Linked DNA regions of Lepisosteus oculatus. The main gene of each other region encodes a partner of the protein of the gene in region 3 in a complex. Links are inferred from orthologs where the notes say so. Each region holds a gene or a part of one and is shown on either strand. Other genes may lie near its edges.

Region 1 (3,751 bases), on a different chromosome or scaffold from region 3:
ACACTGCATGCTGCTTCGAACAAGAAGGGTGATCGATGGGAATGTCTGCGATCTTTCTTTGTCTGCCTAAGAGATAGGCACTCTGGCGATGAATGTACATGACTGGCAGGGGCTCGTCATTTTTGAAAGGGTAGAGCCGCCACCTTCTCTTTGGAATTCGAGCCTCGGGGGGCTCGTTGTATTTAATCACCACCCCCCGGAACGTATTGGTATCTTCCACCAAGGCTCCGGACAGTTCGAAATTGGGCTGCTCCTTCTGGACGGGGTTGTCATCGTTATTTTCCTCTTGACCGAAGCCCGCGTCCTCCGAGTCCATGCGATCTTCGTCTCTCTGCCGATTCTCCCTCCTCCTTTCTTCGTGGCGCTCCCTTTCGGCCTGCTGCTGCTGGAAAACCTGGGCGTCTCTGTCCCGGCCCCGCTCCCCCATCCTCCTGTCCCGCTCAGGCACCCTGTCTCTGTGTCGGACCCTTCCCGCATCTCTGCCCCGCATGTCGTCAGACGCCTCTGAGCGATCTCTGTGCCTCCGCTCCTCCTTCCCACGGCGGTCATCTCGCTCCTGACAACAACCACAATCCGGGTGATCTCACGTTAATCTCAGAGCCCAAGAAAAAGGCCTATTCCAAAACAAGGCATATGTTTCTATTCCTGTCCCAGGAGAGGAATAACTTTCATTGGACTTCAGAGCAGTGCTTGAATGTAAAACCCTTCAGACACACCTCACTGGTGCAACACTACAGAATCTGATCTGGGGTTCATTAGAAATTTGCTCCTGTTGTATGTGATATATATATTCAAAAATAGCCATTGTGCCCCATTTAGAAATCTCTGCGTAGATTCTAATGCATATGCAGTGATCCCTCCTCAACACTCATCCACAGTAATATCAGAAAGACACTGGGGTTGTACTCAGATTATGAAAACTCTTTGAGAATATTTCAATGCAGAGTGTTACAGAAAGATGCACTTTGTGTGTGTTCGCCAGAAAATGGCCTTTTTCAATGCAAAGCACGTTTCAAACCTTCGCTTACCAGTGCTGTGACTTTTTGCATCCACTAAAACACTTCTATGAAATATAAAATACTGCACTTATCCCATTGCCACCTACTCTCTCTCTCTGCACCCAGAATCAGAATTAACTGAGAGACCTGGCTAACAATGTGTGCACGCAATCCTACTTCCAGTTAAACCCTTTGACACCTACAGTGCCAGGTCTCTGGCACCATCTTAAACACTTGAATTGTGGTGCTGATGTCGCCCTTTCCACCTCCACACAGGTGCTGAAGCCATTCTCGATGGCTCGTCTGGACACACCCCACACTGAGTCACCACTCAACACCATAGCCTCATAAGAACAAAACGGACTTTGGGAAAACAGAAAGGAGCCATGATGTGAATTACCTGCTTTATTCTTACATCATTACAGGGAGGACTTGTGCTCCTTCTCTTCCTAGGAGACCTGCTGCCCCGTCTCACTGGGGACTTGTCTCTTCCTCTGGGCGGTGACCTATCAACATAGTTCACACATAAATCTACAACAAAAATATTCCTCCTTGCTCAAGTCACTAAAGTAACACTTTATACACTGAAGACGGTAAGAAACCTTAATAGCTAAGTCTTCAACCCCAAAACTTTGCATTACCTTGCCGTAGGACCTGCCTGTCTGCACAATCTACTCAACACATCCCCAGCCACCCACTTAGGATAAAGAAGCACGGCGTTCTGCAATGCCTGAGGTCACATCCCAAACACAACCACAGCAGAGCATCACTCAGAGAGGCTTGATGCAATTTCTAGTGCTGCACTGTACAAGGGGATGGACAGAGGCAGGTTTACACTTTTCTATAAATCTTTTCCTGAAAACGTCTTATCGGTCGGCACTTCAAATTGTTACCGGCTGGAGTAAAATAATGAACCTAGGTAGCAAAATCATCAAAGTAAATCAGGCCAGCCTAAACGTTAACTATATACAGCATCATAGAGTGGAAGTGACACCCCCGCCGATGTGATTTACACTACTCCCACCTAATAACGCCTCTGTACCGCGATGTGTAATGTTCAAACACAGGAAAGGGTTGACCCCTTTTGCAATTCCCCCTATTAAATAATACAAAGTTATTTATATTGACTGAAATTCTGTTTGTCCTGACCTCTTTGTTGATGTTGATTTCACTGGAATGATCTCAGCCGCAAAATTATTTTCTTCCTAACGGATAACTACATTTGGACTATAACAGAGTTAACGTGCGGCGTACCCAGTATTTAACTTAATCGAAAGAGCTAGGCCTTCAATCACAGCAGCTCCTATAACGCTGTATATAATGCACTACCAAAAGACGGCTCCTTTCGTGAGATACGGTATAAAACGCCTAGTATTTGTAAATACATAAAAACCTATTATTTTTTTCCCAGCTTTCGTTTCTTGTACCCTCCCTACCTGCTGGCTCTTCTCCTGTGCGGGGGTGGGCTTGCGCTGCTGCGATCTGACGCCGAACTCGAGCGGCGAGGTCTTTTAGGCCTGACGGGGCTCAGCCTCTCCTGTTTAATTTTCGTCTTTGTTTCCTTCAGTGAAGGAGGGGACTCCAGCTTTCTGTGTCTTCTCTCCTTGTCCATTTCTCAAACGATTTGTCTAATATCGTTTAGGAGAATTTAAAACACTCTCATCGCAGATATTTTTCAGATGTAATTCCTTACACAAACGCAAAGTCCGTCTACCACAGAACTCGTATCGGGCTTATTCCGGTTCCGGGCACATCGTATATGGGATCCGGATGTTTCAAGCCTTTCGAGCTATATCGTTCCGCTTAATTCGATACTATGGGATAAACTTTTCAATATATAAATCAGTTTAAGTGAGACTTATGATGTACTGGCATTCTTTACAATAGAAATTCCATAATATACTCAAAATATATTTTATTAAAATAAATGTGTTTTAAAAAAAAACAAACTGTGTTGCGTAAATAACGTCAAGGACCCAGGCATACGTCTCAGCCTGCCTACGCTTCTGCTTTTCCAGATTTTTTTAAACCCACACATAATATTTATAATGTCACGTATTAACTGTAAATTAATGTATTCGTGTGTTCTTCGACAAGCTAGTTTTGTAAGGTTGCGATCTGGCGCAAATCCCGGAACACCAGGAGGTGAACTAAACATTGTAAATTGAGTGTTAAAACTTAGTTATTTTAATATTTTCTCTTATATACCACATAAAGCCTGAGAATATACGTCTCAACGTCGGTTATTTGTAATGAATGTATCTTTATATTATTTTATGAATATAACAATATATTTAACATTTAGTGCTTATGCTAGAAATATTCAATGTTTACAAGGCACACTTATTCTAAATTTTAAATATTTAGAACATTTTTACAGTACAGAACATATTGCCCGTATGATTAGTTACATTTGAAGGCTGGTTATGGTTAGTTTACCTGTATTTTTATAGTGAATCTGAGCATTTGTAATATTTAACAACTGAAATCATTTTATTTTCATATTTGATTAACCTGGTCTTCAGTTCTCTCATGTTCCGAATGATGTAGCATTTCTGACATTGTTTTAAAAACCTATATCCAGGTACATGTTTTAAAGCTTCCATTTGCCTCTTTTTTTATTACCATTAAGGTTTGTGTCTTCAGCCCCATCTGCTACTTTCAATAGTATATGAATTAGACGTCCACTGCTAAGAGCCAAAGTATTCCTTTTTATATGGTGTTTATGACACAGATGAAAAAAATGGTTTCTT
Region 2 (3,751 bases), on a different chromosome or scaffold from region 3:
AGAGGATCATCAGCATCCAGGTTGGCTGCTGGGATCTGGTCTAACCGTGGCCTCTTGGAAGAAGAGGAGGAGGATGTGGTGTGCTCTGGAATAAAACAAGACCATGGGTATTAACATCCATCAAGAAGCCTTTGATTCATATACAACACTGCATGAGCTCAAGAGGCCCTTAAATCGACTATGGCTGTGGAGTCATTTAAACGGGAACTGCAGTCAGAATTTCTCAGACTGGTTATTAAATCTCCGTTACAAAACAAATTTATCAACGTTATAGGAAAAAAAAATACAAATTTTGAATGAAGCACAAAATCGCGAAATTTGTGAAAGTACTGTGGACATGTTATCGCAAACCCCTGGTCTCACCGCAGGCAAGAGCAACACTTCCCACGGACTGTGACATGATGCAGCCCATCCTGCTCACTAGTCACCGTAATGACTAATGTAATGTGATGTATGAGTGGATAAGGACAGGCTGTGCAGCAGACACTTCACCGCAGAAATGTTCCAACGTGATCTGCATACAGAGTTAACAAATAAGTTGTATTTGTTGGCAAAACCATCTGAAAGTCGAGAGATGTATTAAATGAGATGTATTCACAAGCCTGCTTGTTCACAGAGTCACAGGGCTGCAACACCTCACCAGAAATTTTGTTCTGAAACCCTGAATATAACACTGTGCATACCTGGAAATTTCATCCATTTTTAATGTAAATTGGAGGTTTTACAAGTTACTGTGCACATTTTACTTTTATTGTGGTTTGAAATGCCCTCATCGATGCTGAATCCTTTCTAACCCCGAAATATTAAAATAGTGTTGCAGTGCCCCTTTAATTCTGACAAAAAGACAAACGGACACAATTTCCTCCTGCCCATCACACAGGTTTTGAAAAACAGTATGGGTGCCTTGGCTCGGAGGCCTCGGCACAACCTGAACTGCTAGTGCTGTGCCGTTCACCTCTGGCTGGCCTGTCCCTGGTCTTCTCCCTGACCACCACTCGCTCCCTCTCCTCCAGCTCCCTGCGGAAGTCCCGGGCACGCACCTCCTCGGGGGCATCCTGGGTGGGCTGCCTGAGAGAAATATCATGTGTGTGAGCACAGAAGATACTTGGCAAACAGGACAAGACAAGGAGACTTAGATGTGTTGCAAAGTAGGGAACTAATTCAAAATTCTACCTCAAAATGAAATCTACCTATACTGTCGAGCTTATGTACTTCCAGACACCCCCAAAAGACAAATTTCATTCTCAGAAGAAGGTGCTGAGTGAGAACATCACCTGCCAATCTTCTTTACACAGAAAAAAAATAATGACTATTGCAAGATAAATAACTTTAGGTACAAATAAACCTATACATGGTTCAAATCATATACAAGGTACAAATAGAAGCATTCACAATCAAGGAGTGGTTGAACCTACTGCTAAATAAAATCCCCCCCACCCCAACTCTGGATTAGCAGGCCTAACCTGTATTTGATTTTGGTGTGAGAAGGTAAATCCCTGCTGGAGTACTGTTTGGACAGAGCACTGAGGTCTCCTTCTCCTTTGCCTCTCCCTCCTCTCGCGGGCTCAAAGGTAGGCCTGGCAGCTGTAGTCATCGTCACTCACTGGAAAAACGCAAAACGGAGCAAAGGGCAATATTTTCACTGTGCTCAAGAAGCAAACTTTTTAAACGGCAGTGTTACGCGCAAGTGCCAATTGATGGTCCTCTCGTTCTCAGCCGTAAGTAAACCTGGTGAAACTCATTACAGCAGTTTTCTGCAGCCAAGCACGTAGTTCCGACACCTCCACCTCTGTGCAATGGGACACATGTTCATGCGTGTAACATTATCGTTCAGTGCCTCAAAGTTGCTGTAATACGTAAGAAAGTCGTAAATCCAAGATTTATTAGCATGCGATGATAGAAGACTTAGAATACGCCTGTGAAAAAACGCTACATTTCACGTTTGGCTTCTTAAACTGAAATCCCACGGTACTGGATTACAAAAAGAAAGGCGTTCAACGCACATTTGTTGAAGCTAGAAACTTTTACTGTTTTGATAGATTCGGAAACCTGTGTTAGACCGTGTAAATTAAAACAAATTATAGAGCAGAATCCCGAAACAAATAAAAATATTGTACTGTTAATTTTGACATTATTCAACAATATTCCTTTTGAGAACGTACGAAAATTTTCATTGAACGCTGTTCAGCTACAAACCGACATTGTAATAATTTGTACCTAAAACGATCTGAACGGATTTACATGTAACACTTTTAAATGTATAATATAAAATGTTTGGCATTCTATTTTAAAGCCTTAGATATTTAATTATGACAAAAAGAAACCTTATTTATCCTATGAATTGTATCTTACATTACGCTCCACAACAACTAGAACCTCCGATATCCCAGACTGCAACGCGGAACGGGTCAGAGGCTCTACGGAGTGTCATATGGGACAAATAGTCTTTTGGTCGCAAAAAAATCGTTTTTAGATATGAACAATTCTCGTGGAAAACACCAAATAAATGTGTCAAGCCATTTTTAATAAACTTATAACTTTAAATGTATCACATCAGCTGCTTTTAGTCTTATTTCAATTAAAACTATTTTATTTACCATGTCATCTTAAATCATGGTACTAGAGAGTATCTAAGAATTTGCAAGTGCTCCTCCAGAGTTTCCAGAATCTAAGATTGGGTTGTTTTGGAATGCAGTTTAGTTTCATTTAATGGTAACATTCAATTCTGTACCAGCAACAACCATTTAAATAAGAGGGCAAAGGTATTTCAGCAACACTTGTACCATTTAATTACTTTCAGTAGTAATACAACTATTAATAACAATAAAACTATAGTTTGCCATAAAAACAGCTAAGTTCAAATACCCTTTCATACAGAATGAAGAGCTTATAACACTTTCTTCTATGCATTAATTACTTTATCTCCTTTTTATAGTTAAAATGTTGAAACCCATGTGACACAACTGATAGGGAGTTTGGGGGGATTTAGATACTAAACTGTTATAAAAACTGTACTGTTTGTAAAGGCCCCCTTCTTTAAATTGTAGTTGGATAAAACAACAGCATATTTGCTTGGTAAATTGCTTTCATTGAACTGAACTCAAATAGTTTGTTTTTGTTCCTTGGATGTGCACACAGACATTAACATGTCTGCAGTTACAATATTGTTATTGAAAGCATACAATGAATTATTCCTTGAAACTTGCTGGTTTGCAATCAGTCTTGAAGAGGACTGTGTTATGTATACCCTTATGAAATGCAGCATGTTGGTTGCAGTGGTTAGCATTGCTGTCTTGCAGCACTGGGACCCTGGGTTCAATTGTGCACCTGGGGTTCTATCTGTGTGGAGTTTGTATGTTCTCCCTGTGGTCACGTGAGCTGCCTTCGGTTGCTCTGGTTGACTCCCACAATCCACAGATATTCTGGTAGGTTAATTAGCTTCTGGGAAAATTGGCCCTGGTGTGTCTGTGTGTCTGTGTATCTACCTTGTGATGGACTGGAGTTCTGTCCAAAGTGTTTTCTGCTTTGTGCCTATTGCTTGTTGGGATAGGCTCCAACTCCCCTGCAACCCTAAATCAGATAAGTGCTTAGAAAATAGATGGATGGATATCCTTATGAAAATCACTTATGGATGACTTATAGGTATTTATAGAAGCTTCTGGCATTTTATATAAAACTTCAAGGTTATTTTCCTAAGGGTACTACTGTGGTATCCAGACCACACTGCTATCCAAGGGCCAGTGTGATTGAC
Region 3 (3,751 bases):
GGCAGCCCCCCTGGAGCCCAGCAGGGGGAGCCCGGCCCGTACCTGGAGGGGAGACTCCTGGGAGAGGTGTGAGTGGGGCCAGCAGGGGGCGCTCTCACCCAGCTCACAGCCCCACTGGAGCCCAGCAGGGGGAGCCTGGCCAGTACCTGGAGGGGAGACTCCTGGGAGAGCTGTTAGTGGGGCCAGCAGGGGGCGCTCTCACCCAGCTCACAGCCCCACTGGAGACTCAGCAGGTGTGAGCCTGGCCAGTACCTGGAGGGGAGACTCCTGGGAGGAGAGCTGAGGCTGCTGCTGGAGGAGGTGTGAGTGGGGCCAGCAGGGGGCGCTCTCACCCTGCGGTCTGTGTGGGTCCTGATGCCCCAGTATAGTGACGGGGACACTGGACTGTAAAAAGGCACCGTCCTTCAGATGAGACGTCAAACCGAGGTCCTGACTCTCTGTGCTCATTAACAATCCCGGGGTGTCTCTCGAGAAGAGTAGGGGTGTTACCCCAGTGTCCTGGTCAAATACCCCCCTGGTCTTGACCCATCATGTCCTCCTAATCACCCCCCTCTCTGAACTGGCTCCATCCCTCTGCTCTCCTCCCCACTGAGAGCTGCTGTGTGGGGGGAGCGGACTGGCGCCCTCTGGTTGCCAGGGGCAACACCCGACCGTGACGTCGGCGAAAGAGGACCAGTCCGGCAGCTCGTCCAATCAGCGCCGGCTCCCCGGCGAGGCGCCGCGGCGACCGGCCCGCGATTGGCTGCCTCCGCGCCGGAGGGGGAGGGAGCAGGCAGGGGCCCGGTACCTTGGCGTAGAGCTCGGCGGCGAACGAGGCGACGCGCTGGTCGACGTCGATGGTGCCCGTCTCCCTCAGCCGGGACAGGAAGTCCTGGGCGCTGGCGCTCCTCTTGGCCGTGCCGATCAGGAACTGCGCCACGTAGCGGTCGCTCAGGCCCAGGAGGCCGTGGAGCTGGTCACTGACCCACTGCTCCAGGCCGGCCATTCTGAGGGCGAGGGAGAGACACGGATCATGACTGAGGCTGTACAGTGACAGGGCACACACACACACACACACACACACACACACACACACACCTCTACACTTCCAGAGCACACGTCTAAAACCTACTGACAGAGCAGTCTGAGACTCTCCAGGCTGGACTGGGAGCTGGACGAGTTCTGAACTGGGATTACAATCAGACTCCACTGACACTGACACTGACAGAGCAGTCTAAGACTCTCCAGGCTGGACTGGGAGCTGGACGCGTTCTTCACTGGGATTATAATAAGACTCCAGTGACACTGACAGAGCAGTCTGAGACTCTCCAGGCTGGACTGGGAGCTGGACGCGTTCTTCACTGGGATTATAATAAGACTCCAGTGACACTGACAGAGCAGTCTGAGACTCTCCAGGCTGGACTGGACTGACTGGACTGGGAGCTGGATCAGTTCTTCACTGGGATTATAATCAGACTCCAGTGACATTGACAGAGCAGTCTGAGACTCTCCAGGCTGGACTGGGAGCTGGACGAGTTCTTCACTGGGATTATAATCAGACTCCAGTGACACTGACAGAGCAGTCTGAGACTCTCCAGGCTGGACTGGACTGACTGGACTGGGAGCTGGATGAGTTCTTCACTGGGATTATAATCAGACTCCACTGACACTGCCAGAGCAGTCTGAGACTCTCCAGGCTGGACTGGTCTGACTGGACTGGGAGCTGGATGAGTTCTGAACTGGGATTATAATCAGACTCCACTGACACTGACAGAGAAGTCTGAGACTCTCCAGGCTGGACTGGACTGACTGGACTGGGAGCTGGATGAGTTCTTCACTGGGATTATAATCAGACTCCAGTGACACTGACAGAGCAGTCTGAGACTCTCCAGGCTGGACTGGACTGGGAGCTGGATTAGTTCTTCACTGGGATTATAATCAGACTCCAGTGACACTGACAGAGCAGTCTGAGATTCTCCAGGCTGGACTGGACTGACTGGACTGGGAGCTGGATCAGTTCTTCACTGGGATTATAATCAGACTCCAGTGACACTGACAGGGCAGTCTGGGACTCTCCAGGCGGGACTGGACTGACTGGACTGGGAACTGGATGAGTTCTTCACTAGGATTATAATCAGACTCCAGTGACACTGACAGAGCAGGCTGGACTGGACTGACTGGACTGGGAGCTGGATGAGTTCTTCACTGGGATTATAATCAGACTCCAGTGACACTGACAGAGCAGTCTGAGACTCTCCAGGCTGGACTGGACTGACTGGACTGGGAGCTGGACTAGTTCTTCAGTGCCTTTAAATCCATCTCGTCTCGTCCACACGACATCACGTTCACGACACGACACCTTTCGCACCGCGCTCCGGCTACGAAGGCGCAGACGAGCGGCGCTTGGACGACAACAACAACCAGCAGACGAGGTTGTGCTTTATTTACTTAGAAAAAACAACAGATAAACAAAACCGGTTCATGATCAGATAGAGGCTAAACGTCGTATGTGTGTGAGATCCCGACCGCAAACACACAGTTTTATGTCAATACTGGGAGATAATGACTACACCTCGCACCATTTACAGTGCAGCGACTTGAAAACCGAGAGCTGAACTGTTTACATACATGTCTCTCTCTCGGCGACCCTCCCGTCCGAACCGGTCTCCTGTCCGTCCGCGCTGTTTGTTTTCTTCGCTCTTTATTTCAGGCAGCCCGCTCCTAGCACCTCATGGTCCCGGAACCGGTCCCGCTCGAATCAAGATCCGAACCCACACCCTCAACTTTCAAACACACGCCATAACAACATCTGACCCCCCACCACCGCCGCCGCCGCTTTCACCCGGAAGCGGAAGTTCGGGTCAAAGGGCGCAGGCGAGGCGGGGAGAGGAACGCCAGAGCACCCCCTGGCGGCACCACGCGTCTTACGTCTTCACTACCGCATGTTCCGCCTGGCCGGGCCCAAGTTGAGGGTATATAATACTGCAGGCGGATGAGCTTTCTTCCGCCCTGTGATAAATACTCTGGGATTAGACCTTCGTCCCTGAAATGACAAATTTAATCCGAGAATTTCCACTCCAGCCCAGTGTGTGATCTCCTGTCCCAGCCTGAGGAGCAGTGAGCCTGCCTGTCAATAATAATAATACAGTGTGCGATCTCCTGTCCCAGCCTGAGGAACAGACAGTGAGTCTGTCTCTCAATAATAATAATACAGTGTGTGATCTCCTGTCCCAGCCTGAGGAACAGACAGTGAGCCCGTCTCTCAATAATAATAATACAGTGTGTGATCTCCTGTCCCAGCCTGAGGAACAGTGAGCCTGTCTCTCAATAATAATAATACAGTGTGTGATCTCCTGTCCCAGCCTGAGGAACAGACAGTGAGCCCGTCTCTCAATAATAATAATACAGTGTGTGATCTCCTGTCCCAGCCTGAGGAACAGACAGTGAGCCTGTCTCTCAATAATAATAATACAGTGTGTGATCTCCTGTCCCAGCCTGAGGAACAGACAGTGAGCCTGTCTCTCAATAATAACAATACAGTGTGTGATCTCCTGTCCCAGCCTGAGGAACAGTGAGCCTGTCTCTCAATAATAATAATACAGTGTGTGATCTCCTGTCCCAGCCTGAGGAACAGACAGTGAGCCCGTCTCTCAATAATAATAATACAGTGTGTGATCTCCTGTCCCAGCCTGAGGAACAGACAGTGAGCCTGTCTCTCAATAATAATAATACAGTGTGTGATCTCCTGTCCCAGCCTGAGGAACAGTGAGCC

What was found.
Region 1: dhx16 (region 3) and snip1 share a complex: the UniProt entries of both Homo sapiens proteins name them as parts of the minor spliceosome. The link is inferred for Lepisosteus oculatus from reciprocal best matches to the Homo sapiens genes DHX16 and SNIP1.
Region 2: dhx16 (region 3) and cwc15 share a complex: the UniProt entries of both Homo sapiens proteins name them as parts of the minor spliceosome. The link is inferred for Lepisosteus oculatus from reciprocal best matches to the Homo sapiens genes DHX16 and CWC15.

The regions. Positions count from the first base shown.
Region 1 is NC_090706.1:12,464,194-12,467,944, forward strand, and holds the start of snip1 (smad nuclear-interacting protein 1), read right to left. Parts: upstream 2,757-3,751; 5' UTR 2,611-2,756; coding exon 2,435-2,610; intron 1,505-2,434; coding exon 1,399-1,504; intron 557-1,398; coding exon 1-556. UniProt on the Homo sapiens protein: Required for pre-mRNA splicing as component of the spliceosome. As a component of the minor spliceosome, involved in the splicing of U12-type introns in pre-mRNAs. Down-regulates NF-kappa-B signaling by competing with RELA for CREBBP/EP300 binding.
Region 2 is NC_090700.1:12,136,494-12,140,244, forward strand, and holds the start of cwc15 (protein CWC15 homolog), read right to left. Parts: upstream 2,415-3,751; 5' UTR 2,353-2,414; intron 1,604-2,352; 5' UTR 1,595-1,603; coding exon 1,464-1,594; intron 1,069-1,463; coding exon 956-1,068; intron 86-955; coding exon 1-85. UniProt on the Homo sapiens protein: Involved in pre-mRNA splicing as component of the spliceosome. Component of the PRP19-CDC5L complex that forms an integral part of the spliceosome and is required for activating pre-mRNA splicing.
Region 3 is NC_090709.1:40,380,090-40,383,840, reverse strand, and holds the start of dhx16 (pre-mRNA-splicing factor ATP-dependent RNA helicase DHX16), read right to left. Parts: upstream 2,828-3,751; 5' UTR 2,608-2,827; intron 987-2,607; 5' UTR 986-986; coding exon 788-985; intron 1-787. UniProt on the Homo sapiens protein: Required for pre-mRNA splicing as a component of the spliceosome. Contributes to pre-mRNA splicing after spliceosome formation and prior to the first transesterification reaction.